Pelodiscus sinensis: one gene and its partners. The protein of the gene in region 2 purifies or fractionates together with the protein of the main gene of each other region. This does not show direct contact. Links are inferred from orthologs where the notes say so. Each region holds a gene or a part of one and is shown on either strand. Other genes may lie near its edges.

Evidence for each region.
Region 1: the proteins of SIRT1 (region 2) and ECT2 purify together in Homo sapiens (affinity purification with mass spectrometry; 3 studies listed by BioGRID). This does not show direct contact. The link is inferred for Pelodiscus sinensis from reciprocal best matches to the Homo sapiens genes SIRT1 and ECT2.
Region 3: the proteins of SIRT1 (region 2) and FOXO1 purify together in Homo sapiens (affinity purification with western blotting; 5 studies listed by BioGRID and IntAct, with this or other methods). This does not show direct contact. The link is inferred for Pelodiscus sinensis from reciprocal best matches to the Homo sapiens genes SIRT1 and FOXO1.
Region 4: the proteins of SIRT1 (region 2) and USP22 purify together in Homo sapiens (affinity purification with western blotting; 10 studies listed by BioGRID and IntAct, with this or other methods). This does not show direct contact. The link is inferred for Pelodiscus sinensis from reciprocal best matches to the Homo sapiens genes SIRT1 and USP22.

The regions. Positions count from the first base shown.
Region 1 is NC_134720.1:40,504,789-40,512,564, reverse strand, and holds the start of ECT2 (protein ECT2), read right to left. Parts: upstream 3,011-7,776; 5' UTR 2,982-3,010; coding exon of another isoform or gene 2,876-2,981; intron 1-2,875. UniProt on the Homo sapiens protein: Guanine nucleotide exchange factor (GEF) that catalyzes the exchange of GDP for GTP. Promotes guanine nucleotide exchange on the Rho family members of small GTPases, like RHOA, RHOC, RAC1 and CDC42.
Region 2 is NC_134718.1:27,706,948-27,713,852, reverse strand, and holds the start of SIRT1 (NAD-dependent protein deacetylase sirtuin-1), read right to left. Parts: upstream 3,010-6,905; 5' UTR 2,935-3,009; coding exon 2,550-2,934; intron 568-2,549; exon of another isoform or gene 90-567; intron 1-89. UniProt on the Homo sapiens protein: NAD-dependent protein deacetylase that links transcriptional regulation directly to intracellular energetics and participates in the coordination of several separated cellular functions such as cell cycle, response to DNA damage, metabolism, apoptosis and autophagy.
Region 3 is NC_134711.1:292,069,566-292,077,330, reverse strand, and holds the start of FOXO1 (forkhead box protein O1), read right to left. Parts: upstream 3,006-7,765; 5' UTR 2,602-3,005; coding exon 1,999-2,601; intron 1-1,998. UniProt on the Homo sapiens protein: Transcription factor that is the main target of insulin signaling and regulates metabolic homeostasis in response to oxidative stress.
Region 4 is NC_134726.1:32,611,417-32,618,260, reverse strand, and holds the start of USP22 (ubiquitin carboxyl-terminal hydrolase 22), read right to left. Parts: upstream 3,022-6,844; 5' UTR 2,543-3,021; coding exon 2,417-2,542; intron 1-2,416. UniProt on the Homo sapiens protein: Deubiquitinase that plays a role in several cellular processes including transcriptional regulation, cell cycle progression or innate immunity.

The DNA of each region.
Region 1 (7,776 bases), on a different chromosome or scaffold from region 2:
CAACTAACCAATAAGAATTCATGAGATTACTCGACTATTCAATTAACCCATATTTACCATCTCTACTACAGACCTTGATTGGTATAATACAGCACTTTTGATCAATGTAGTTGTAACAACCTAACTGTACATGTAGATAGTGTTATATCAACAGAGAGTTTCTCTCATCAACATACAGGGAGGTGGATTAACTACACAGACAGGAGACACTCCCTTTGGTAAAGGAGTGTCTTCACTAAGACCACTGCAGATGTCTTTATATTTAAAAACATAAGAATTGCCATGCAGGCCTTCCTCGCTGTAAAGCCAAGATTAGGGATGTTAGTTGATTAATCTAATTTTAATTGAATAAAATTAGTCAATAGGGGTGCTTCCGCTTTGAAATGTAGCAAGAGCCCGCCCAGCTGTTGCTATATTTCAAAGGCAGAAATGCCACTGGAGTTCCACCTCTGAAATCTACAAAAGCCCCAAAAGGGGCTCTTGTGCATTTCAGAGATTGAAATGCTGCATGGAGCCTGAGTCCCCAGCAAGCCCCAAGCTCCATGCAGCGTTTCAATCTTTGAAATGCACAAGAGCCCCAGCAGGGACTCCTGTACATTTCAAAGGTGGAACGCCGACGCTGTGCCTGTGCCCCTGGCCCTACTCCCTCCCACGGAACTGGGGAGAACCGGTTTTTAACCTGGCTTCCCCCAGCATCCCTTCCTCTTTCCTCCCTTTGCTGCAGCTTTCTGATAGAAAGAGAATAGTCTGTTGACTATCCGATAAGCTTTTGCTTATCGGATAGTCAATTAATCACTTACGTTCCTTGAACGTATAGCAAAACAACTTAAAGCAGGGAACTTTTTTCCTGCGGCTAACTTCCATTTGCGCTTTTGGGGGGGAGGGAGGAGGACACATGACTTAAGAGTGGGAAATGGAAGGACTTACAATACCTCAATTCCTACAAATGTCAATGACTTTAGTGCGGAACGGATGTATACCAGGTGACTTATAGAGGAGATGCCCTCTTATAGAGGAGATGCCCTGTATTGGGTCAGATCAAGGGATCTAGCAAAGCATCCCATCTCTGAAAAGTACAGAAAAGGACAGTTTGGAGGATCAACCAGTCTTCCCCACTCAGATTCTGGCAGCCAGAGGTTTAGGGCATGAGGTTGCATCTCTGACCATCAATAGACTTTCCTTTTAAAAACTCAGTTATACTTTGGTCATCACAATATCCTATGGCAATGAGTTCCAAAGATTAATTGTGCATTGTCTGAAGAAGTACTTTTGTAGTAAACCCACTACCTACTATTGTCATTGGGTGAGCCCTGATTTTTTGTATTGTGGGAAAGAATAAATAACATTTATCTATTCATTTTCCCACACCAGTCATAATTTTATAACCATCTATCATATCCTTCTCCCCCCCCTCCTTTTCCATATATCATCTCCTCTTTTCCAAGAGGAAGTCTCTCCTCAGATGGAAGCCATTCCTTATGTGTAATGATCTTTGTTGCTCGCTCTGAACTTTTCCTCATTCCCTTATATAAGTTTTTTGAGATGGGATGATCAGAACCAAACACTGTATTTAAGGTGTGGGAGCAACACAGATTTATATAATGGCATTATCTCATTTTCTTTCACTTTCTTAATAGTTCTTAAGATTGTTAGCCTTTTTGACAGCTAGTATGCACCAAGCAAAAGTTTTCAGAATGCTATCCAGAAGAACCCCGAGATCTCTTTCTTGAAAGGTATCAAAAAAATGTAGAGCCCCTCCATCCCATCACTGAATATAGGTAGATGGAATTATTCCCCCCACAAACATTACTTTGAATTTCAGTGTTTTGGGATACCCCCTGCAGCTTTCATAGTCAGCCTATCTGCAGTAGGAATGTGAACAGTTAACCTGTAAGTATCACCCTTAAGGAGTTTCCCCTCCCCCTCCCAACAAATTTGTTTTATCTAGATATGTTGGGTGAGAATTCTGTAACTTACTATAGTAAATGCAAATAGCCACAAAAAGGGATTCCTTTCACAGTTCAAAAGTTGCACAAAAGTCCCAAGAATTTTACAAATATTAATCAAGTCCCACCCAGACATACCACTGTGTGGTAGGCAAGAATTACATCAGTTACCTATCAAAAGGAGGATGCAATGCCCTGTAGTCCTTGGCAGAGACTACCAAAATGAGTCTATTAAAGCCATATTTAATGGTCTGCCATTAATGGTCACATGGATTCCCATTCCTAAAGCAGCAGATTTTGCCCAAGAAAGCTCATGATTATTTATATATATACACATAGTCTCAAAGGTGCTCCAGGACTACGCCTTGTTTTTAAAGTTGCAGACTAAAACGGCTTCCCCTCTGAGACGTTAAAGATGCAGACGGGGTTGTCAGTGAGTTACCCTCAATTAACAAAGGCTCCCCCACCCCCTCCCCAAAACGGACGATACTAGAGTGCTCGTCTCCAAGGTGCTACTTCAATGGCCCTGGTCGGTTTCCCCGCTCACGGGGCTGGCTCGGGGCAGAGCGGGGATGCTCGGGGGGGGGGGGGGGGGGCTGGAAAGCCACACGCCTGGCAGGTGCAGTCCCAGGCGGAGGCTGCGCCTAAGGCGGCAGCTGATGCGCCTTTGAAGGGCGGAGCGAGCTGTTCCTCAGACGAATGCAGGGGCCAAGGAGTCGCTCGCCAGGGCTAACCCCGAGGCCGCCAGGAGCCGGCGCGATGTGCCTTACACCGGCCATGCGCAGCCCAGAGCGGGCGGGTTCCGGGCTCCGCTCGGCCCCTTCTGGGCAGCCCCACCCTCGGCCCCTTCCTTCACCTGCTCCGCTGCATGCGGCGCGGCCCAACCCGGCCCCGCGTCCCCAGCCCGGGCTCTCCCCACAAGGCCTTACCGCGCCTCACGCTCAAACCCGCAACCCGGCCACTCCGCCAAGCTCCAGGCAGCGGCCGCCGACCCCAATTCAAAAAGCGAGCCGCCGCTCTAAGCGAGCCGCCCATTGGTTGCCAGGCGGCGCCAGCGCCGGCGTGCTTATGAAAGCCGCTTCCTCATTGGTCCTTCGCGGGATTCTCTTCGTGAAGTCCCTCCCTTCCTCCCGTCGCTCTCTGAAAAGGGCTTCCTGTTATTGGACGGTGCCCGTGCAGCTCGTCGCAAAGCGATCGCCCATTGGCCGAGCGCGATTCCCCTAATCCTTAGGTGTGGGGATGAAAGGGGGAGCTCCGCTTGCCCAAACACGGGTCACAGGACGCTGGCTCACCTCGGTTCTGATTGGCGGCTGGCTCTTTTCAAACGAGCCCAACCGTTGAAAGAGACGGTGCCATACGTCAGCCCGTGCCCATCGTTCCAGCCTCTGAGGGGCAGCGCTGCGCAGCTGGGACCTGGCTGAGGAGCCCGCCCGGGTACGCCCGACATTGCCCAGCGCTGCTGCCCCCGCCCCCCAGTCACCGCCCAGCATAGCCCCGACACGGCCCCACACAGCCCTGGCTCTGCAGCCCCCGACGAGCCGCGGCCACCCTGTCAAGCCCACAGCGGCGTCAGTCCACGAGGGCGGAGTGATGGGGCCGTAAACGAGGTTCCGGTGTAACGTGGGGCACGGTAGGGCTGCCCCCGCAGGGGTGCAGGATTGGAGCCCCAGCTTGCAAACTGTGAGTGACCCTTTCCTGCCCGCCCTTTGCAGCTAGTCAGATTTAGGGTCCAATACATGTTTTCCCAGGCACATCTAGCTCCCCAGCTAGAATGAAACCATTTCTGTTCCTTAGAAACACCCAGGGGTCCTGTGGCACCTTAGAGCAGTGGTCCCCAACCTTTTGAGGTTGTCGGGCGCCAGGGGGCGGGGCCCCTCCACAGCCACGCCCCCCCCATAGCCACGCACCCGGTGCCCCCTCCAAGGGCTGCGCGCCCGGAGCCAGCGCTCCCCCCGCCAACCACCACGCGCCCGGGGCTGGCGCTCCCTCCCCCCCAAGCGCTGCGCGCCAGGGGCCAGCGCTCCCCCCGCCAAGCGCCATGGGGCTGGCGCTCCCTCCCCCCCCCCCAAGCGCCGCGCCCGGGGCCGGCGCTCCCCCCCGCCAAACGCCACGCGCCCGGTGCCGGCGCTCCCCGTGCGCCATGTGCCCGGGGCCAGGCCAGCCCCAAGCACCTGGCGGGCGAATGCAAATGCCCCCGCGGGCGCCATGTTGGGGACCACGGCCTTAGAGACTAGCCAAAAGATATAGAATCATGAGCTTTTGTGGGTAAAGCTACTGACACGGTTACCCCTCCGAGAGTCTGTTCCTTAGGTTTCAGAGTAGATGTGTTAGTCTGTTTCTGCAAAAACAGCAAGGCGTGCGATGGCACCTTAAAGATTAAGGCTACGTCTACACTGGCATGATTTTCCAGAAATGCTTTTAACAGAAAAGCACTTTTTGCAGAAAAGCGTCCGTGGCCAATCTAAACACGCTTTTCCACAAAAAAGTCCTGATTGCCATTTTCACGATCGGGGCTTTTTTGCGGAAAACAGTACTGTGCTGTCTACACTGGCCCTTTTGCGCAAAAGTCTTTCGGAAAAAGACTTTTGCCCAAACGGGAGCAGCATAATATTTCCGGAAAAGCACGGACGATCTTACATTAGATCATCAGTGCTTTTCCAGAAATTCAAGCGGCCAGTGTAGATAGCTGGCAAGTTTTTTCGGAAAAGCGGCTGATTTTCCGGAAAAACTTGCCAGTCTAGACACAGCCTGCCAGTTTTATTAGGGCATATGAGCTTTTGTGATTTACAACTCACTTCAGCTGCATGAAAGGAGAAAAAAACGAAACAGTAGGGGTGGGTCTAGACTGGCAAGATTTTGCGCAAGCAAAAACTTGCCAGCTGTCTACACTGGCCGCTTGATTTTGCCCAAGAGCACTGACTTTGTAATGTACAAAATCAGTGCTTCTTGCGCAAATACTTTCACGCTCCAGATTGGACAAAAGCCCTTTTCCGGAAACGCTTTTGCACAAAAGGGCCAGTGTAGACAGCTAAAAACTATTTTGCGCAAAAAAGCCCCGATGGCGAAAATGGTGATCGGGGCTTTCTTGCACAAAACCGCGTCAAGATTGGCACGGACGCTTTTTTTTGCAGAAAAGCGTCTGTGCCAATCTAGACACTCTTTTCCGCAAATGCTTTTAACGGAAAAACTTTTCTGTTAAAAGCATTTGCGGAAAATCATGCCAGTCTAGACGTAGCCTAGGGGTACAGGAATGGGAGTAACAAGGATTCCTGTGGCTCCTTATAGACTAACAGATGTATTGGAGCATAAACTTTCGTGGGCAAAGACCCCCTTCGTCAGATGCATGTCACGAAAAGCTTATGCTCATGAAAGCTTATGCTCCAATACATCTGTTGGTCTATAAGGTATCACAGGACTCCTTGTCGCTTTTTCAGATCCAGACTTTCACAGCTACCCCTCTGAGAAATGGGAGTGTTACATCAGAGATGATTCAATCAGGGTCAACTTTTTAAACCCGATTTTAAACCCCTGATAGTATTAATCATTACAACAACAAAAGCAATAAGATGCTGATGGCGCAAATGTCCTTACATTCTTAAACTGATCTTGGGAGCTTGCCCTTTCACCCATTTCCTCCCTATTTTTTGTTGTGTCAGTTGACACATCATATTTAAATTTGTCTCTTCAAGGCAAAGATCATGTTTGTCTAATTGTTCAGCAAAACCCCCTACATCACCATTGGGCATGAAAAACATCATTATAAAAATTTATTTTGGACATCAAAAATACACATTAACAAATCTAATAAGCTTTGTCTCAAGGATGTTAAGGTCTTTTATTATTTTGATTAAAATGAGCTTCGGAATAATCAAATCAAAGGGAAAAATGATCAATGGAAATGTGAATGGTTCACATGAATGTTAGCTGACTCAACTGAATCAAAAGTGTTATAAAATTAACTAAACCTAATGCTTTTAATTTTTTCCTATTTTGTATTCTTCTCTAATATTAAACCTTTGTGAATTGGAAAGTAATATTTTGTATGTATTCTGCATCTTATTAGTAAAAATCTAATTTAATAAATTCTGACAGACAATTTAAAAGGAATTTGACTGATGTCCTTCTAACAATTATTATATGGTGAATTCTTATATACTAAAATTAAATGTTTTGATAGTATTCATCCTTTTTATATTAGGGATACTTATTACAAGACCATGGCACATCCACATCTGTATATGGAAAAATTATATAAAGTGGGTACCTGCAGATTTGTAGAGTTCTGGATGCAAAATTTGTATCTGTATCTGCAAAAATGAGCTGCAGATTTGCAGGGCTCTGCTTACTACTTTAGATATCTTGTTGACTTAGGGCCTGATCCCAAGCCTACTGAAGTCAGTGAAAGTGATTTCACATTAGAGGGTTTTGAACCAGATCCTAAGGACCAAAGGAAAGAGGACATTGCTTGTAATAGGGATTGCTTATGTGAGTAAGGGCTGGTAGGCATATGACCCATGTAAGTAGGAACTGTGTGCATGAGTAAAAGGTTTGAATCCTGCAAACTGGATAGGTGGTCTCAGCTATTATTTCACACAATAACAACACTCATGCTGATGATTTTCTGCTTTTTGTCAAAATTTAAAAGCATTAGCGGGAGCTTGTTGTTTCTATTTATACTCTGAAAAACATCTTGGGACTTGATCCTGCTGTACCAAATCATGGATTCCCAATTTCTTCCAACCAGATCATGTAAGGCTGTAATGGGCAACTGCATGTGGTCTATCAGGGTTGTGTGTGTGGCCTACAAGACATTTTATTTACTATTGTCCATGTACAGGATTGCCAAATTTCACTGGTTTCCGTTCACGTTTTTTTCCTACTGATATTACTAAAATGACACACACATAAACAGGCCCGCTGACAGGGAAAGGTAAGGGACAAACGGGGCAACTGCCCCAGGGTCCTGTGATTCAAAAGCGCCAGGGCTCCCAGCCGCCGCTGCTGGCTTTGTCCGCTAGTTGCTGTGAGCAGTTAGGTTCTCTCCCTGGCTACAGTTGTCCCAGGGATCTTTTTGGGGTGTCCACAGAAAGGACAGCATGTCCATATGATATATTATCTGGGTGCATTTTGCAGGGACAGAGAGAGGACAATATTGCCCCCCACCCCCCCCACACACACACACACCAACTCCTACCCCCATCTCACTCCTCCTTTCCTGGCCATCCTGCCTCCTCCTCCCTCAGCATGGACTCTGCATGGTCAGAAAAGTCCCCCTGGGGTCTTCAAGATGGGGGAATCCTGCCACAAAAGACAGCTGACTTCACTTCTGCCAATTAGCTGGAAGATACCTCCACAGAAGATCCGTTTTGGGCTTGGATAACATGGCCATTGTTTCTGACTAGTGTTTGGCATTTCGGTATCAAAACTAGAAGTAGCAAATGGAAACAATGCAAAGTCTAGAATCACTTGTGCACAAACTTTGCCTCAAATTTCTGCACTTACACGTATACTTAAAGTGTGTGTGTTTGCAGAGTCAAGTCCTTCAATATATATATGCCATATATTTTATGGACACTACAATTCATGATTCTTATTACAGATAATTTAACATTGTAAAATGCTTGGCAATACCTTGGAGTGATTGCTTAAAGGCTGCCTTTCACAGCATTTTCCGTGATCCTGTAAATTAGTTGATGCTACTCCATTGAAATTGATAGAGCTGTGCCAGTTTACACCATCAGAGAATGTCATTTTTGTGTGTGTGTAGTACATGTAAACTTTAGAAATAACTGAAATTTTTGTACACCATCAGAGATTGTCCTTTCTGTGT
Region 2 (6,905 bases):
CCACTATTGGCTACAGTATTTGGCTTGAACAATGTGGTATTTGGCCACTTGAACGTGGTTAGTTCGCTATAGCAGAATTGGTTGTATACCATGGTGTTAGAACCTCAGGTCTTCAGCAAAACCCAGGAAGGCCAGATCTGACAGGTCTGATTATTTTTAAATTGAAGAACAAGGAAAGAAATGTAACTCACTCCCAACTCCTCCTAAAAGAAAAAGCAAATTGTTTAATTTTCTTTATCCTATTCTGGATAAGGCCATGGTCTTCATTTTTTTATGTTAAAAAAAGCAGAACATGCAGTTGATACCCCTTTTATGGGGGTGGGGGGGAAGGAGGAGAAGGGCAGTACAAATCCTAACCCCATCTTCCTTTGCAGATTATCTTTCAAGCCCTACAGCTATTAACTAAGGAATAGAAGAACAGACTTGAGATGTTAAATTGCAGGCAAGCAGCTAATCGAGTCAATAAATGGGGAAAATGCAGAGCCACAGCAGGGTTAATTCCCCGCCAGTGAGCTAACCCCGCTGTGGCTCTGCTTTTTAAATGTATTAAGAGCCACCAGGTGGTTCTTAATACATTTAAAAAGCAGAGGCACAGCATCTGGGAACAGTCTCGAGACGGGAATCAGCTAATTCCTGGTTTGGGCCTGGTCCCTGCGATGCCTCTGCCTCTCTTGTCCCCCTATAAATGGTGCTGGGGGGGGGGGGGAGAAGAGAGAGAAGAGGAGAACTGGCTTTTAAGCCAGCTCCCTGTCAGCACTGGCTCCTGCTTTCCCTTCCCCATCCTCCCCGCCTCCCCCAATTTCTGCTTCTCTCTTAGAGGCAGTGGGGGGAGAGTGACTAGTCAAGTCACTACTTGGCTACCCAATAAGCATATGCTTATCAGATAATCAACTAGTCACTTACATCCCTAAAAGAGACATGGTATTACAAGTTAAAATTTGAAACCAATATAAAAGTATGAGTGCTATTTTGGTAATCTAGCCTCTCATGGTGTCTTGTGTGTTTGGACAGTTTCCACTCTCACCTCAAGTCTTTATAGGAAGATAGCCTGATTTATGCATAAAATAAGCAGAAGTGATAGTTTATACATTTGCAAACACAAGTTGCATGCCTTGGTATAGATTTCTTTATGTTCACCAAAAAGGGCTATGTGATATATCTCAGTGAAATTAAACCAAGTTAAGGAAATGTTTGAAGGACTAGGGTTTAGATCATTAATAGTTTGGTAGGCCCTACCCATATTTCTCATTATACTGAGAAATTTTTGCAGTAGAAGAGCCTGTTTAACTATACCACCCTCTGCACAGTCAGGTGATTCCTCAAGCAGGGCAGTTTCCAGAAAGGTTAGTATGCTTACTGAATCTTTTCAGGCAAAGCCCTCAGTATTGGGGCCAATTACAGAAGGAGCTGGCAAGACTTGCTCAGTGGATCACAACTCTCATGAAAATTATTTTCAGGAAACAAAAATTGAAAGAATACCAAATACATATAGGAAACAACCTTTTAAAAATTTCACTTACAGGATGCTATTAACATTATTAAATAAATTTGTTTACAACATGACTTAAATTAGTCTCCTTTTAGAAGTCCAGGAAATAAAACTGAAAAAGCAGTGTGAAATTAAGAGGGTAAACTGAATTTGGGAATAATGGATGCACATGCAATACATAAAAACTATCTACAAATAAGCAGCACAGAAATCAACATAGTATCACTCAAACTTCAATCTAGCAATCTCTACATTATCATAGTAATATTTTTTTCCAGTTCCAGAAGCAGTGTAATAATTTTGTGTCTACTGAACTTATTGTACAGGCTATAAAAGTTATAAGTTGAAAAATAAATTTGTCACAAATCCCATAGGAGTACAAACCAATGGCCAATTACACGATTTTTCTATATCTACAAACCGAAGTAGATGTAGCAATATGGAGCAGAAGACATGCTTCTATAATACACACGCTCAGCGAGCGCACACATACATAAATCAACGCACATCACTGAGCGCAAAGGGCATTTGACAAGCTTATGTGTGCAAAAAACGAAACTAAAAACTTAGCATCGGTGTCCCGTTAATAAGATGCTGCTGCAAAAGGATGGGGGCCGTAAGCGCGGCTGATTCCATTGCGCCTCCAAATAGGGAGATGAGCGTGACGGGTCAGCTGCCCACTGCTCAACACCTGCCCGGAGCAGATGACTCTGTGGCGGGTGGAGGAATTCGCTTGCTTCTCCCCAAACCCAGCCGGTGTAGGGAGGAGGGCAGGAGGTTAACTGCGCCTCGCCAGGCCGGGGGAAGGGAACGACCTACGCTGCCCAGCCGCGAGTGAGCGTGGCAGACGGCTCGCCCCCGGCTACGTGCGCGCGGTGGGGCAGGGGCCTCGGTGACTGGTGTCACACAGAAGGGGGAGGCCCACTGAGTAACGCAGCCGCCTCCCCCCTTGAACTGTCTGTGCCCGGGCGGCCAGGGGAGGGTTCTCACTGGCCCCGGCGAGGAGAGGGAGCAGGAAGGGCGCCGCTCCCCGCCACGGGGTCAAGCCGGGGATCCTCACCGGGACGCGGGGCAGGCACCTCGTGTGAATACTGCGACCGTCTGTAGCCAATGGCCGTGTCCGCTTCGTCTCCACTGGGCGCCGTCTCCGCCCCCTCCCCCTCCTGCTGCTGTGGGGGCGGCTCCTCGCGGGGCAGGCCCCGCAGCCCGGCCCCGTTGTCCGCGCCGCTCCAGCCCTCCGCCGCCGGCCCCCCCACCGCCCCAGCTGCGGAGCCTGCGGTGGGCGCCGTCCCAACGCCTCGCTCTGGGCTTGGGCCCGTCACCGAGCCACGCCCGGCACCGTCTTCCAAGTCCAGGCGCTGGCGCTTAGGAAGGGGCTCGGCGCTCTCGGCTGCGGCACAGGGGCCGCTGCGCGGTTGGAGGAGCAGAGTCTCCTCGTCCGCCATCTTGGAACAGCAACCGCCGCCTCCCCCAGTCCGGCGCACCAGCGCCTCAGCTACAGCCCCCTTCCCCGATCCCCCCCGCCCTCCAGGGAGAGATTTAAACCCTGCACGTGACCTCACCGCCGCCCACGCGGGCACCCTCCCCGCAGAGGCCGCAACAACAACAAACTGGGTCACGTGAGGGGAAGGGATAGGGTGGGAAATGCCGCCGTCACGTGACCCCGGTACAAAGGCTGGGCGCACCTCGCCGATGCCCTCCACCCCCTCACGTGACCTACTAGCGGGGTAGCTTGCCGGGGCTTTGCCAGTGCGAGGCGTTATGTAAGGGGAGCGCGGGAAGGGGCGGGGCTGCGGGAGGCGTGAGCAGCTGGGATGTTGTGCGGGGCAGGAGGAAGCGCTGTAAGGGCACGGATGGAGCAGGCCTTAGGGGTGGGGAGGTGAGAAAGAAAAAGCAAATGGTCCCACAGAGTAGGGGAGAGGGGCTGAGAACGAAGGGGAGCACCCCAAAGCGATCAGCCCAGTGAGGGCTGCAGAGGACGGACAGGAGGTGCCACTATTTTTAATACAAGTTGGAGGAGGGAGTGGTGTTAAGAAATCAGAAGGCTTGCATTACAGCCAGAGCTGTAGAAGTTTAACTAAGGGTGTGTTTAAAAGTTTATCGTTTTAGATGCTTATTCATCTGAGTATTTGTTTAATTTAAACTGTGTTTTGCAAGATTTAAACTAACCCCCCAAATAAACCACTGCTAAATATAAATATTATGTATGCATATGCAAATGTGCACAGATTTAAGTAAATCCGTTTTAAAACACACCTGCAATTAAACTGTTACCAGTTTGTGCAGGCAAGCTTAAAATCACTGGGATTCCTGTTTTCATCAAAGTAGGAGAAAAAGGAAAACCTGGTTGAAGAAGGAGAGAGAGAATTGCCAACCCTGTGTATTAAAAAAATCTGAGTGGCTTAAAAATGAAACTTTTTAAAAGCCCAAAAGAAACTCGCATTTGCTTCATACATTTTCCTTGTTGCTTTTTGAGCCTCTTGTTTTCCTGCTTTTCTCTGTATCCTTTAAGGCTACAGATTCACATTAATTTTTTTAAAATACAAGCTAAGATTCTCAGGATATACCTGCAGGAGATGATCTAGTATTATAAGACTTTTTATAAAATTATGAGCTGGCAATACGATGAATGTTACACTCTTCATAAGGTCATGGTTTTCTACAAATAGTAACAGGCATTGCTATTAGTGTACTTTGGGCATATCTATGTTTTGTGGCATAGCATGACTGTGGTACTCTTAGGCGATGTCTAGACTGCAAGCCTCTTTCGAAAAAGAGCATCTAGACTACAAACAGTACTTTCAAAAAAGCAAGCCGCTTTTTTGAAAGAGAGCACCCTGGCAGTCTAGATGCTTTTTTTGAAAAAGCACAGTTTGCATTACATAGCGCCTTTTTTTAGAAAGAGCACTTTCAAAAAAAGGCGTTAATCCTTGTAAAATGAGGTATTCCATGATCAAAAAAACTGCTGCATTCTTTTGACTTGCATTTTTTCAAAAGTATCAGCAGTCTAGATGCGGGGAAATTTTGTTTTTTAAAAGACCACTTCTTTTTAAAAAGCCCTGTTGTCTAGACACACCCTTAGTGTAGACACTTCATATGTTGATGGAAAAGGGTTTTTCATTGATGTAGATCAGTGGTCTCCAACCTTTTTAAACATGAGATCACTTTTTGAATTTAAGTGCAATCCAGGATCTACCTCAAACCCAAATACCCCTGCCTTGTCTCCTTCCCGCCCCTTCTCTGAGGCCCTGCACCTGCTCACTCCATCCTCCCTCCCCCATTCTCATTCTCTTTTATCAGGCTGGGGGCAGGAATTTGGGGTGCAGGAAGGATTTAGGATGGGGGCTGGGGTTCAGAATGCAGGTTCCAGCTGGATACTTCTTACCACAGGTGGCTTCTTGGTGGTGGTGCAGGGGGCTAAGGTAGGCTCACCCCTGCCCTGGTCCTGCACCACTCCCAAAAGCAGCCATCAAACTCTCTCCACCCCTGTCCCCCTCTGCTCTGTGGAGATGGGGTACAGGATGGAGGGAGGGGCACCCTGAGATCAGTACCCCCCTTCCTCTTCTTCCCGTGCCCTGCACAGCAAGCAGGAAGCTCCCATGGGTGGGGGGCAGTTCCAAGGCTGGGGGAAGGAGCAACAGGGTAGCACTTAGAGGGGAAGCTGAAGTGCTGGCACTTGATAGTCTCCCGGCCAAACCTCTCAGGATCACCTGTCAAAGGCTCCAAGATCTACCAGTAGATCCTAATCTACTTGTTGGTGACCACTGATATCCACCTTCCCTAACAGCAGTAGCTAGGTTTGATAGAATTTTACTCTGATCATGCCACCACCAAGAGTTAGGTCAGCTTAACTAAAGCAGCACATGGCTCCTTTGGGGTGGGAGTGTGGGGGGGGGGGCGACTCAGGCTTACCTGGGGGGGCTCCTGGTCTCCTTCCCGCCCCTTCTCTGAGGCCCCGCACCTGCTCACTCCCATCTTCCCTCCCCATCCTCATTCTCTTTTATCAGGCTGGGGACAGGAATTTGGGGTGCAGGAAGGATTTAGGACGGGGGCTGGGGTTCGGCTACTTGGTGCCTGCCTGTCCTGGGGGCACCATGCTGTGCTCCAGAAGCAGCCAGCACAGGGGTGAGCAATAATTTTTAATGGGGGAGCACTCCAAGAATTTGGTAAGTGGTCAAGGGCTATAGAAGGGAGCTCAGGATAGGAGACTGGGATGCAGGAGGGGGTGTGAAGTCTGGGAGGGAGTTTGAGTGAAGGAGAGGATTGTGACCTGGTTCAGTGCATTGGCATGCAAGGTTGGGTAAGGGGTATGAGTGTAGGAAGGGGTGTAGGAAAGGGTGCAAGGGTTTGGATTGTGATCTAGGGCACAGAGGCTCATTTAACTGTACATTCACTAATGTGATCTATGCCATCAAATGCCAGCAATGCCCCAGTGCAATGTATATTGGGCCAAATCGGACAGTTTCTATAGGAAAGAATTAATGGACACAAATCAGATATCCAAAAAGGCAACACATAAAAACCTGTTGGAGAACACTGTAATCTTCCTGGACACTCATTAATGGATCTCCAAGTCGCTGTTTTGTTTGACCAATTCCACAAGCCAAATACACAGAGAAGGATTGGAGCTTAACTTCATTCCCAAGTTTAATTCTTATACTAATGGCTTGAATTGTGATATCAAACCAACCAAACAATGAAGGTGCTAATGGTTCTTAATGTCTGTGTAGAATCTGGCGTTGTTCATTTTCCTTTCCAAGTGCAAGCTAATGGTTCTTATCAGCCTCTTATAATTATTTAGTCAAGATGCTATTAGGGTATGTCTACACTAGCGCGTTAATTCAAGGTAGGCAGGCAATTGAAGCCCGGGATATAAATATCCCGGACTTTATTTGCATGTTCCCATCTGGTCGCCATTTTGAAATTTCACTATCCCAAACTCACTGCCGCGCGGATACATGCAGCAGTGAAACGTTAATTCGAACTAAGTCTTTAGTTCAAATTAACTGTTACTCCTTGGGACTTAGTTTGAATTAACATTTCACTGCCGCATGTAGCCGCGCGGCAATAAGTTCGGGCTAGTGAAATTTCAAAATGGCAACCAGATGGGAACATGCAAATAAAGCCCGGGATATTTAAATCCCGGACTTCATTTGCAACTCTGGTCACCTCATTTGCCTACCTAGCTCGAATTAACGAGCTAGTGTAGACATACCCCTCAATTGTTTGTTGGTTTTTAAGTTTTTCCTGTTACAGACTCGCTCGGCTGTCCTTTTGAAGCTTATCTACTCACTGTCTTTTTTTCTTCCTCCCCTTCAATTTTTTTCCTTCTCCCTCCCCCCCGTCTTTCCTTATTTATTCTTGGATCTGGACTTCAACACTCTGGTCATCTGAAGAAGTGGGCTGTGCCCACGAA
Region 3 (7,765 bases), on a different chromosome or scaffold from region 2:
AAAAGTGGTGCATTAATAATCTGTGTATTCAGACAAGTGGCACTTTGCAATCTCATTCTAACAGCTAGTCTTGGAAAAAATGTAACTGATTAAAAGTCAGCCATTAGTTCTAGTGATGGTTAGGCAATCTGCTATATTAGAGTTGCTGGTAATGTGTGAAGTGACAGAAAGATCATGCCATTTGCTAAACGGAACATATCCACCACTGAACAGCCTTAGAAGTCTCACAGAGCAGAACTCTGTGGTTTATTATTATCTTCACTCCTGTCCTAAGGCTGGAATCAGGACTCCTTGCAGAGATAGTGTGAACTTGCTATCCAATTCCTCTGTACAAGACAGAATAGCAAATCCTATGATGGAAACTGGTCACCTACCAATCTGCTACTTCTAGACATACAAACTTCATTCTGAGGGAAACAGAGTCCCATTAATTAAAAACAAAGTTTAACAAAGACATTACATTGAATACACAGCTCACTTGGTAAACATGCACTGTTACTATAACCCTTGACCTACCTATGCCCTTTCCCCATTTTACTTTATGACTCCCCCCCTTTTGTTCGGTCAGTCTGACTTGAGATTGTAAATTCCTTGGGGCAAGGACTTGCCTGTTTTCTTCAGTAAAGCCACGTATTACATGCCTGACTACATAATGAACAATGGGATGAAAAGATGATTTTATATCTTAAACCTGAAATAGCACTAGGACTCTCCTGCTCAGTGACCCTGGGGGGGGGGGGAACAAATTCCATCCATAAGTTTAACTTGTAATTAATGTTTGTACTGGAAAGGACTCCAAACTCCCTTACTTACATACAGGAGAAGGTCTCACACAGTGCTGCCATATGTTTTAGGATTTGACCTGTTGTGCATGAAACTGGAGACACCGGCCCTTTAAATGCATTGCACGCATTGGCAGGCTTGAACTTTAGCTCCACGCCGGGTACAGAGCAGGCAAAATGAGCTAGTGTCTGCTGCCCTACCGCCCCCAGGACGTGGCACCCTGCCGCTGCGTTTCTCTAGTTCTCGGCTAGCCCTTGAATCTGTCACTTTAAATTCGTCCCAAGTCTGCAAAGGGAAATGACACAGCGAGTCTCCACAGGGCCCGTTCCCAGCCGGTTGGCTGCTAAGTTACAAACCCGGCACACGCAACTTCGGCTGCTCTTTAAGGCACCCGGGAAAATGGCAGGAACCCCCTCGCTCCCGGGGTCACCGCACACACATGCAACCCCCTCCCCCGCCCCCTCCTTAGTGGCTTTCCAACTCACTGGGGGAGAGAAAGGGGACCCTTTTTTTTAAGTATTCGGCCGCCCTGCAAACCGAGCCTGCCTGCCTAAGCTTCGGCACCCCAGTGTCAGTGAACAGCCAGCGAGGACAGGGGGCAGCCTGCCAATCGCTACGCTGCCCCCTACCTTCGTGCTCTTCACTTACTCGGGTGCAGAGTTTGCAACTGCCCTGCTTCCCCGATCACTAGGAGGCTGCAATGCTCTGCAATCCCCACGCACCCGGCACTGAGGAGTGTACCGGCCGGGCTAGGCTGCAGAGGGGCTGGGTGTGCGCTGCCTCTCCCTGGAAGCAAAATGCAGGACAATGTAGCACTTTAAAGACTAACAAGATGGTTTATTAGATGATGAGCTTTCGTGGGCCAGACCCACTTCCTCAGATCAAATAGTGGAAGAAAGTAGTCACAACCATATATACCAAAGGATACAATTAAAAAAATGAACACATATGAAAAGGACAATGAAGTGGGTCTGGCCCACGAAAGCTCATCATCTAATAAACCATCTTGTTAGTCTTTAAAGTGCCTCATTGTCCTGCATTTTGCTTCAACTATCCCAGACTAACACGGCTACATTTCTATCACTATTCTCCCTGGAAGGTGCTTCCTAACCTCCCCTGAAAGACGGGATTTGGGGAAAGCCAAGCCCCCCCGTTCCTGCCACTACACCGGCCAGCTCTCCCCAGGCACTCCCAGTCCCTACCCATCTGCCTCACCTTCCAGCCGGCCGAGCTGTTGCTGTCACCCTTATCCTTGAAGTAGGGGACGCTCTTGACCATCCACTCGTAGATCTGGGACAGAGTGAGCCGCTTCTCCGGGGCGCTCTCGATGGCCTTGGTGATCAGGTCGGCGTAGGACAGGTTGCCCCAGGCGTTGCGGCGGGCCGAGCTGCTCTTGCGGGGTTGCCCGGGGATGGGACCCGAGGAGAGGGCGGACACCGGCGGGTGCTGCTGCTGCTGGAGTGGCGGGCCGGGCTGCTGCTGATGGAGGCAGCCGGCCTCCTGGCACTGGAAGTCCCCGCAGAGGCAGCCGCCACCGGCAGCGGCCCCTTCTGCAGCACCCGCGGCGGCCGGGGGCAGTGGCGGCGGCTCGAAGTCCTCGCTCTCCTCCAGCAGGCTCAGGCTGCCGATGAAATCGGCGCTGACCGACGAGACAGCGGCGGCCCCATCGGGCTGCCCCCCGCAGGACGGCGCCGGGCTGGAGGTGGCCGAGCTAGGCGGGTTGAACTCCGGTCTGGGCAGGGGCCAGGTGCAGGAGCGGGGCCGGGGCAGCGGCTCGAAATCGGGGTCGATGTCCACGAGCTGGGGCGCTTCAGCCATGGTGGTGGTGAGGAGGGGACGAGCTCCGGAAAAGGGGGAGCCGGGAGCCGGCTGGGAGGCTGCAGGCAGAGAGCCCGGAGGAAGGAGCGGAGCGGGGCGAGCGGAGTTGAGGGGGCGGGAGCCCCGGGGCAGGAGGGGAGCCCGGAGAGGGGGAGGGAGAAGGACACTTAGCTCCGCCACTTCATATCCAAGCTCCCGGGGAGGGAGGGCGCTGGGCAGCCGCCAGCTCGGCCGTGGGGTCCGCAGGGCTCAGCGCGGCCGCCGGCTGCAGCCCGGCTGCTCCCCCTGGTCGCGCAGCTGCCTGTTGAGTGTGCAGGACGCGGCCGTGGCAGCAGCGACTCAGGCGGCCCGGCGCTGACTTACTGGAACTCCCGCCCGCCCCGCAGCCGCGGCGCGGCCCGCCTCCTCCCCCGTCCTTCGCCGTGTGATTGACGGGCCCGCCCGAGCCAATGGGCGCCCCACGCCGCTTAGGAAACGATTTGCCTGTCGTATTATTCAGAGGCCAATTTTCCATGAGGGCTGTGTGTGTGGCTGCTGGTAAGTCACTGAAGGGAGAGTGAGCCTGGCTCGGCCGTGTGGTGCTTGCAGCCGGAGCAGGGTTTGTTTACTACACAAAGAGCAGAGAAGCAGCTTTGGAGTTTGCTCCAGGGGTTTGCAGCAGCGGGACTCGCCTGGCTGCCATAGTTTGTTTTCTGCTCTGCGTGCACATTGCACTGATTCCTAGGCGGGCTGCCCCTGGGCTGCTACCCTGTATTCATTAAGTGGCAGTTCTCACTGCCAGGCATTCCAGGTATTGCTTGCAATCCATTCTCTGGCTCTTACGCATGGACATTAGTAACACAGCGGCGGTCTAGGCTGGGGAGGTACATCAGGGCATGCCAGACCTGGATTTGAATCCCTGCTCTGTCACAAACCTTGAGCTACTACAAATCACTTTTCTGGCCGTGTCTGGGTTTCCAGATGCTGGAGCTAGGAGTGCTGCCGCGCCCCCTGGCTAGGAGTTTCCATCATATTCAGACGTTACAGTTTGTTTCAATGGCTGTTGGCACCCCATTTACAAACTCTTCCCTTACCCCTTGTTCCCTCTGTGTTACATGGACGTGGTAGCGCTTCCCTGCCTAGAGGGGTGTGTTGTAAGGATTGAGACATTAAGAGCTGTGATATGCAATAACGGGTAGCTCTGTTGGTCCTGGATATTTAAAAGACAGGGTGGGTGTGGTAAAGTTTTATTGGAAAAACTGAAGAACCATTTACTGCAACTCATGTAATCTAGAATATGTCGACTCAGACAAGAAATCATCCTATGGACCCACCTACTGGAAGAAAAAAAATCAGGAAACTTACCTAGAAATTATGTAGGAAACCCAAAACAGTATCATTTTCTTTTTATAGTTAAATATAAAATATAAATACCCACCTTGTCTCTTTAAGGGTTGTGAGGTATTCAAAGTCTATGGAAGCTATACAAGTACCTAAAGTAGATAAGGAAAGACAGATAAAGACAAGCAGACACATCTCTCTCCTCCCCTTCTATCAGTTTATTTACTACCAAAATCATCATTCTGATGTAGTAGCCTCTACTTTCTCTTAAGAGGTGATGGTCTTTGTTGTCTGGGTTTATTTTGAAAGGAAAAGCTTTCCCTGAGAGCTCATTAATGTACAGTTGGTTTTAGGGCTGGTAAAATCGGACACCACAACCCCCCTTAAGAGAGAGAACTCTTGCCAGCAGTGTCAGACTATGAAATATCTGATCTGATGCATGCAGACAGCTCTGTTGCTACCACGGTCTATCCTGGCTTTGGATTTCTGTCTGACCACATGGAGATCCAGACTACTTGCTGTTGCTGACTGACAACTGTAAGCAGCAACAAGGCCACTGAACACCACCCGCCCACCTGACAGAACTGTCAACATCAGCAGAAGAGACTCTTTGTAGTCTTGTCAGCCTGAGCTAGCCCTTGATTTAGATTAGAACATACAAAAGCATGATTAAATGTCCTTTCCTCATGCACACAAAATCTACTGGATAAATTAAAAGACAATTCTTCCAACATAGGCAGATATTCTGTTTTTCCTGACAATTGGCTGTTGCTTAGCTGTGAAAGCAACACGAGAGGAGTGAGCACCAAAGTGATGGTATGACTTCACCATCTTCCCTATTGGCTGGTGTACATTGCCAAGAGATGTGAACATTGGCTTAAGTTGCCTCTGTTTTTTGCAGAATTTATATTTTATATTGTGTGTGAGTATGTGACCTTGAGATAATTACATTTTTAAGTTTAAAGCACATTTAATATTGCTTTTCCCAGCAAACTCCAAGGCCACATAACTTAATAGGGCTTTTCTTTCCCCTCCCAATGAGACATCAGTTCTGGGATGTACATACAAAGGGCAGTATGTTCCAAAGAACACAGCTGTTTAAATTCTATTTAAAATTAAAAGAAAGATGTTTTCTTACCGAGAAAAGATCACAAAGGATTATGCATGACTGCATTTCAACACTACATAAAATTGGCAACTTCAAATTTTGTCCTTACAGATTTCTTACAAAATTCACCAGTAGCAGTGACAATTCATCCTTAATTCTCATAATTTTATTTTTATATATTTGAAGGATGTGAGCTTTAGTGATCCTTACATTTTTATATATTCGTTTTGCTAGCTAAAAATAACAGGATAAAATCCTGCATTCTTGGATCCTGGCTACTAAAGAATTAGGGTTAGGGGTGGCTGCCTTTCACCCACCCTTTAAACACAATATTGTAACAAAGGATGTACCTAATTAGGTAGTTGAGCATTATGACTTCTTGTTTCTTTCCAACTGTGAGTTTAAAAAAAAAAAAAGATTAGATGTAATACAAAGCCAGATACCTAAAATGTTACTAACCTCAGCACTTGGTGTTGAATATCAACAACTCCACTAAGGCAGGGTTGCTTTCCCCTTCTAGCCAGCAGTTCTGTTGCTGTGGCCTTTATCTTTGAATCAATGTAGCTCATTGCTCTTATAAAAATAGATTGTGATCAGGAAGGATAATAATGAAGTCAGTAGAGTTAAGATGGGTGTGATGGGGTGTATCTACCCTGCACTGACCCATCAAGGGTCAAATGTACTTTGTAGTCTGAAGAGGCCACACCCCATCGTCCCCCTTGGGCCTGCTAAACCTGGAGACAGGATATAAAAGGGAGTGGCCCAGCTCAATTTGTGCTGGTTGAGGAAGAGAGTGGATATATGTTGCTGGCTTCCGCCAGGGAGTGGATGGCACTATAGAGGCCAAACTAGTGTGATTGATGGTGGAACCCTGCAAGCTGTTGAGGACAAGAGTGAGCCAGAAAAACTGATAAAGCAGGAACCCAGGGTAGGAAGTGACCCAGGGAAAGTGAACATTAAAACGAGAAACTGAGCTGAACCCTGGACAACTACATTCACAGGGAGCCACTGAAGAATGGGACCAGGTCCCTCTACCTTGCTCCATACCTACTGCAGGATTTTGGTTATTAGGCCACATTGCATTGTAAACTAAGACAATAGTACGTACTGTAGCTATCTGAGCTAGAACCTCTTGTTTGTTGCCTGTGACTGGATGTTCCATAATGGGGTATACGTAGCAGGGATGTCAATGTGTAGTTGACTACACGATTAACCGATAAGCCTGGACTTATCAGTTAATCCTATCGACTGCTTGCATTCCTGTCCCCCTTGCTGCCTCTGTATTTATATTTTATATTTTAACTATCAATCATTTAGGCTCCAACTACAGGATGTTAAATCCCTTTCATGGAATGCATCACAGTACTTGGGATGAGGAATGGGATGCAGCAGGGAAGCAACCCCAAGAGAGAGAGACATTTCAGCATCCTTTGTTGTCAAAGTGGCGCTATAATGACAATATATGTGCCATGTCTTGCCTTGCCACACTTTGGAAAGCCGATCTCTGCAAAGTTATCCACATTTCCCAGAATCAGGGTACAGCTAGACTGCGGGTGGGAGGGGGTTGGGATACCAGAGGTATCCCGAAAAAACTCCTCCACGTCCAGAGAATGCATTTGCTCTTCCACTTTTTTTTGCGAAAGAGCAAACGTGCTCTTTCAAAAGCCCCTGTATTCCTCGTTCCACGAGGGAGAAGGGGGCTTTCAAAAGAGGGGGGGTTTCAGAAATCTGGCACAGCCTCAACAGGCTCTAGACTAGCCTCTTCCAACAAAAGTATCAGAGCGCATTTTGCGTGTCTTTTTCTGATAGATGTACCCTCACAATCCTCTGCAGCAGAATGTGATTTATTGTTCTTTACACTTGCAGAAATGCAGCTCTAATGGTAAATTTCCCCACTCCAAACTGATTTGCTACAGACCAGTAGCAAGTGGGACTTTCCAGTTTCAACCACAGTAGTTGTCCACTCTTCTCTACCAAGAGAACATTTCTCATTCAGTTGTCCTTGCACTGCAGTTTGGGGGTCAGCTGAACACACGGCTCTAGAAAGGTTGCTTTGTGCATCCTAAAGTTCTAGAGCCATTGGTCTTCATCCCACACCTGCATTACAATTATGGATGCCAACTTGTAGACGATTACACGATTAACTAATAAACCTAGGCTTATCGGTTAATCTTGTCAACTACACGTACTTCCCCACCTCCTGCGGCCTCTATCACAGGCAGCAATGGGGGGGGGGAGGATGGAACCGGGAGCCCGAGAGGAGCTCACTACAAGCACCAGATCCACCTGCCCCCACCCCGGTGCTGCTGCTTCTGAGAGAGGCGGCAGTGTGGAGGGTGAGAGGGGCAGACGAGAGCCAATATGCTTGGGGAGCTGGCTTTCAAGCAGGCTCCCTATACCCACCTGCCCCCTTATTTCTGCCTGCTACAGAGGCAGCGGAGTGGGGAGATCCAGCTTAAAAGCATCAGCTCCATGGTGCCACCTGTCGCTGCCCCCATTGTGCTGCTGCCTGTATCAGAGACAGCAGCACGGGGGCGGAGATGGGTAGGCTGCCACAAAGCAGCCTCTGTCCACGGTGACCTGGACTTGCAGCAGACAGAGACTGCTCCGCAGCAGCAGCCCCTGTCCGCAGGAGGTCCAGGTTCCCTGCAGACAGGAGCTGCTGCTACCCCATGGCAGGCAAGACCCAATCTGCATGGGAAGCCGGTTGTTAAACTGGCTCCTCTCACAGACCAG
Region 4 (6,844 bases), on a different chromosome or scaffold from region 2:
TTAAAAAAAGAGCAGACTGAAAACAAATGGCAAAAAACAAGCAGTGCTGAAATGGTCTTTTAAAACATAATGCAGCAAGCAATATAAGTAACCTAGTAAAGCTGCAGAAGTGGTCTGTTTCTGCCCTCTGCAGTTTCTACTGCTATCTGGATTTTTAAGACTCATCCTTCCAAAAGTAAAGGTAGAAGATTAGTGTCTGAAAAACCTAAAGAATGACCGACTGATGATCACTCACTGGATAACCAACTGTGCAAGACAGTTTGCATGGTAGATTCGTGTTACCAAGGCAGGGTTTATTCAATGAATCTTCATATTAATATAAAACCTGACAGTAATTGTACATGATTTCTACAGCAATAAACAAGTAAGATTTTGTGACTGAGTTTTCAGCAGAAAAAATACCAGTGCCATAATTTGAGAAAACCAAGGTCCAGTTTTTCTGAAGTCATTTTTCTATCTATCGCTATATACTGATGAGGATTCAAAACTAGCACTCATATACATGGAGGGGCATAGTCTTAATATCAAAGCAATGCTATGGATGTGGCAACATACCACAGGGGAATATAAAATTATTTTCCAATTCATAGAACAGTCATTCAAAATGAACTATTCTTAAAAGTACTTTCAATGTGAAAAGACAGGAAATATTCATGTTGTTAATCAAAACATTGTCACTCTAGCAGTAAGACCCATTATCTCATATTGTTCAGTCTTCTTACGTCATCTTTGCCTATTGTGTATCACAGTATACTGGACATAACTAATCATCACGAATGTATGTTTTCATTTAAGTCATTATCTTTCATATAACAAGTTGTGTTTTGAATTATTACAGGGTACAAAAAAGTTTGTTACTGAAGTATTAAGCTACATTCACTTACAAGAGGAACATAAATATTCAAATATGCCTGTAGCTAGATTAAATACTGCTTGAATATTAGATGACTAAATAATGTCCGATTTGCTGTCTCTTTTTAAAGAGACAACCTTGGGCAGGGGGCTGGACTTGATGACCTCCTGAGGTCTCTTCCAGCTCTATGATTCTATGAACACAACTTTCACAAGCCTTTTTAATCTACCTAATTTCTGAATATTGTGTCTTTCATTCTATAACTAGCTCTACTTGTCTGAGTGATTTAAATAATCTAATGAAATAAAGTTACAAGAGATGTAATTGATTGCTTCATTAGGCCTTATCCTTGCTGTCCTGAAGAGAAAGCTTTGCTGTCTGAGTTGCAGTTGCAGTACCCTTTTTAGTCATTAAGATGATCACTGAGAGAAATCTGCAAAGTCACTTTGAAGAACTAGTTGATTCAAAGGAAAAGAATTTGTGAACAGTTAACAGATCAATTTTCCAGAAACATGTCTTTGTAACCTATTTTTAAAATATTAGCTTAGTAATTAGCTTGTTTTATACAAATATGGCCCATCAGTCTTCTCTAACATATTCATTATGCTACTATTTGTGCAGTACTTTCACTACACATTTGAAAGAGCAAAATGCTCTCACTTTTCCGGTGCATAAAATTCTTTATTTCCCACCTTCCTCACACCACACTAGGAATCTTTTTCTGATTCAGTTACCAGTGGATGCATTAAATCATAAAAAAGGCATTCCACAGACACAAAAATCTGCAGACTTATTTCCAGTCATTGTGTCTTTAAGCCTTTCCTAAATACACATTATGTGCAAGCATGATTTGCAAGCTCCTCTCTCTTTTTCCCCCCAATACTGCTCCTTAAATTAGATGCAAGACAAACCTCAGCCTGTGTATCCCATGCTTCCCAAAGGCTGCACTCTATTTGCTTAAGTACCTATGCTGTAGCTACATGCAATAGTTTACTAGAGGGTGACACTGGGAATTAAAGATCCACTTCTCCCTTTCGCCTTCCTTATCCCAGCCTGTCACTTACTGTACCAGACCGTGATCGGAAGCAGCCTATTCTCTGCAGGAGACTGCCTCCCAGTGCCCAGAGCTCGGCTGCAGGCCGGCCATGCCCATCTGCCCTGGGAGCGCTCCCTCCCCCGCAGACAAGCAATGCAGTAGTTGCCTGATTCCGGGAAACCCTCACTCCCCCCAGCACCTGGGAGGCGGCGGCGCTCGGTCCAGCCTCCCACCCCTGCATAGGCCAGGAAAGCCCTTGCGGCAGCCGCCCCCTCCCAAGCTTGCCCCTCCGCCAAGGGCAGGTGTTTAAGGGGATCCCCTGCTTCCCCTCCCGTGAGCTGAACGGTGCCTCTCCCTGCCCGCGGGACCCCGACAGCCCCTTCCCCGCTCCAGCAGCGCGGAGCCCCCCTCCCCGCCGCGGGAGAGCCCAGGGCGGGCCCGGTGGGTGCGGGGCGGGCGGGATCGGGGCCGGGGCCCCGCTGGGTGGGGCGGAGCGGGGTGTGGCCCTGCCCCCCCACCCCCGGTACCTTGCGCTTCCTGGTCTCGGCCGAGCCGCTCCACACGAAGCACTGGTAGATCGCCCGCAGGTTCTGCTTCCAGTTCTCCACCTTGAAGCCGGTCACATGGCAGCACCCGGCGGCCGGCGGACTCATGTCCGACCCCCCCTCATCAATCCGCCCGCCGACGGGCCGGGCCGGCGGGCAGCGAGCCGGCCCCTTCCCCCTGGCAGCCGCACGGACACGGGACGGGGCCGCCGCAGCCGCTCGCGCGCTCCCAGGCGCCGGCCCCCTCACGCCGCCCGCCGCGGGCTCCGGCGGCGGCGCGGCCTCCCCCGCCCCCGCGAGCTGCAGCGGGGCGCGGGGAGCGGCTCGCCCCGAGGGCCGGGCTCCCCCCCGGCGCCGAACAAAGCGCGGCGGCCGGGCGGCAGCGCACAAAGATGGGGCTGGCGCGGAGGAGGAGGAGGCGGCGGCCGCTGCCGCCCCCGGAGTGGCCGCCGCTGCCGCTAGCTCATGGAGGCCGCTGGGAGCCGGCGGGGCTCGGGGAGACCCTGGCGGCGGAGGTGCTGCCGCGGGGGGGAGGGGGCTCGTCCGCTGCTGCTCCCCCAGCCGGCCGCCCGCTCGGCTCCTGTCTCTTTAAATCGCTCCCCCTCCCCCCACAGCGTTTAATGGCCCTTGCTGCGAACTCAACCTAGCCCGCCAGGCCCGGAGTGGGGCCGACCAACAGGGAAGGGGCAGGAGGCGGTGTGGGCCTGCCCCTCTGTCCCGCCACCATTGGGGAGGGAGGCTGGGGGGGGCGCGCGGCCGTTGGTCCCAGGCCTGTCACTCCAGGCTTGGGCAACGCCTCGTCCGGCGCCTCATTGGCGCGACGCCCTGTTCCACACGTTCCAGCGGGAAAAGGCGGGCGCTGCGGAGGGGATGGGCAGGGCAAGCGGGCCAATGAGACGAGAGAGGCGGGGCCCCTCTTGCAATGAGCGCTGCCGCATTGGCCCCGGCGCGGCCGTGGGGAGGCAGCTCGGGGAAGGGATTGGCTGGACGGGGCGCTCAGGGTGGAGCGCCCACAGCATCAGGTTGCGTTGCGGGGCAGGGCTGCTGTCATATCCGCTTATCCCTGCAGCTTCTCTGTTACCCCAGTGATTTCCTGCAAGCGGGGCGGGGTAGCACAGAGCGCTGGGGCGGCTCCCCCCTTCCTCCTGGGGGGGCAGGGCACAGCCCCTGGAGAGGAGGCCACACCCCCCCCACTGGCCACACATCACCCTGCTCTGCCATAGACCACACAGCCCCCCCCCCTCACTGGCCACACACCACCCTGCTCTGCCATAGACCACACAGCCCCCCCCCCCACTGGCCACACATCACCCTGCTCTGCCATAGACCACACAGCCCCCCCCCCCACTGGCCACACATCACCCTGCTCTGCCATAGACCCCACAGCCCCCCCCCCCACTGGCCACACATCACCCTGCTCTGCCATAGACCACACAGCCCCCCCCCCCCCACTGGCCACACATCACCCTGCTCTGCCATAGACCCCACAGCCCCCCCCCCCACTGGCCACACATCACCCTGCTCTGCCATAGACCACACAGCCCCCCCCCCCCCCACTGGCCACACATCACCCTGCTCTGCCATAGACCACACAGCCCCCCCCCCCCACTGGCCACACACCACCCTGCTCTGCCATAGACCACACAGCCCTCCCCCCACTGGCCACACATCACCCTGCTCTGCCATAGACCACACAGCCCCCCCCCCACTGGCCACACATCACCCTGCTCTGCCATAGACCACACAGCCCCCTCCCCCACTAGCCACACATCACCCTGCTCTGCCATAGACCACACAGCCCCCCCCCCCACTGGCCACACATCACCCTGCTCTGCCATAGACCACACAGCCCCCCCCCCCCCACTGGCCACACATCACCCTGCTCTGCCATAGACCACACAGCCCCCCCCCCCCCCCACTGGCCACACACCACCCTGCTCTGCCATAGACCACACAGCCCCCCCCCCCCCACTGGCCACACACCACCCTGCTCTGCCATAGACCACACAGCCCCCCACTCCACTGGCCACACACCACCCTGCTCTGCCATAGACCACACAGCCCCCCCCCCCCACTGGCCACACACCACCCTGCTCTGCCATAGACCACACAGCCCCCCCCCCCCCACTGGCCACACATCACCCTGCTCTGCCATAGACCACACAGCCCGCCCCCCCCACTGGCCACACATCACCCTGCTCTGCCATAGACCACACAGCCCCCCACCCCACTGGCCACACACCACCCTGCTCTGCCATAGACCACACAGCCCCCCCCCTCACTGGCCACACACCACCCTGCTCTGCCATAGACCACACAGCCCCCCCCCTCACTGGCCACACATCACCCTGCTCTGCCATAGACCACACAGCCCCCCCCCCCCCCACTGGCCACACATCACCCTGCTCTGCCATAGACCACACAGCCCCCCCCCCCACTGGCCACACACCACCCTGCTCTGCCATAGACCACACAGCCTCCCCCCCCACTGGCCACACATCACCCTGCTCTGCCATAGACCACACAGCCCCCCCCCTCACTGGCCACACACCACCCTGCTCTGCCATAGACCACACAGCCCCCCCCCCCCCACTGGCCACACATCACCCTGCTCTGCCATAGACCACACAGCCCCCCCCCCCCACTGGCCACACACCACCCTGCTCTGCCATAGACCACACAGCCCCCCCCTCACTGGTCACACACCACCCTGCTCTGCCACCGGCCACACAGCCCCCCCCCACTGGCCACACACCACCCTGCTCTGCCACGGGCCACACAGCCCGCCCCCCCTCACTGGCCCCACATCACCCTGCTCTGCCATAGACCACACAGCCCCCCACCCCACTGCCCACACACCACCCTGCTCTGCCACGGGCCACACAGCCCCCACCCCCTCACTGGCCACACAGCCGTCCTGCTCTGCCATAGACCACACAGCCCCCCCTCACTGGTCACACACCACCCTGCTCTGCCACGGGCCACACAGCCCGCCCCCCCTCACTGGCCCCACATCACCCTGCTCTGCCATAGACCACACAGCCCCCCACCCCACTGGCCACACACCACTCTGCTCTGCCATAGACCACACAGCCCCCTCACGGGCCACACAGCCGTCCTGCCCCGTCACGGGCCACACAGCCACCCTACCCAGCCACGGGCCCTCCACACCCGCCACGAGCCACACAGCCACCCTACCCTGCCATGGGCCCTCCGCACCCGCCACGGGCCACACAGCCATCCTACCCAGCCACGGGCCCTCCGCACCCGCCACGGGCCACACAGCCACCCTACCCAGCCACGGGCCATCCTGCCCCACCACAGGCCACACAGCCACCCTACGCAGCCACGGGCCACACAGCCACCCTACCCAGCCACGGGCCCTCCGCACCCGCCACAGGCCACACAGCCACCCTACCCAGCCATGGGCCCTCAGCACCCGCCACAGGCCACACAGTTCCTTTGTCCCACAATAGGCCAAGGCATCCACCACCGACGCCATAGCAGCTCTATCTGCCACAGGCTCAAAATACCCTCCACATTCAGCTAGTGAACTGGTGGTGGCACTGGCCTATAGGTAATTCACGTTGGCAGTCCTTGGCTCCACACCAATTAGGAGTACATGCAAATAGAAAAGGTTCTCTTGTGCTCTGGTTTCCCTCTTGTAACTGTACAACCCAACTACATACATACAGCCCCTGTTTTGTTAGCCTCTCCGAGCCACAGGGAGCACCATGCATTATACACTCTGAAATCAGAGTGAGGCTGTAGTTTTGTTCACAAAAGCTGCAAGTCTATGCGTGCATGAGCCTTAGGAATTCAAGCTTCTTGATATTCACGGGAAACCAAAGTTGAGCTCAAATATTTTAGAATTTGCGTGTTTGTTTTCAGCCTCTAAGAACCATTCAAGGGGCCTAATACAATGACACCTCATTTGATGGCATTTCCATTGGTAAGGCACTGAAGTACTCTGATAGAATTAGTTCTGGTATTACTTCAGCCCCATCCTGTAAATTAATACATAAGGAAATAACAAGCCAGTGGAAAAATACAAAAATATTTGGATCTCTCTCATACATTATTTGCTACACACTACAGAGTTAATATACTTACAAAGTTACATAACACTTTGGGAGACAACGGGCATAGATAAGAGGGAAAAAGATAGGCTTTTGGCAGAGATTTGTAGAGATAAAGGTAGAGAGATACCAGAGGCTGTTTCAGACAGCAGGTGCTGCAGAAGACATTGCTTTTGTACTTGCAGTGGGAAGACTGTGCAGTAAAAAGATAGTGCTGAAGCACTTGGTTTACCAATCTTTTTTAATTCATGCTATCATTATTTAAGCACTTATTTAGGGATCCCAAACATTAAACTCAGCTGAAACTGCTATATCAGCCTTATTAATACTT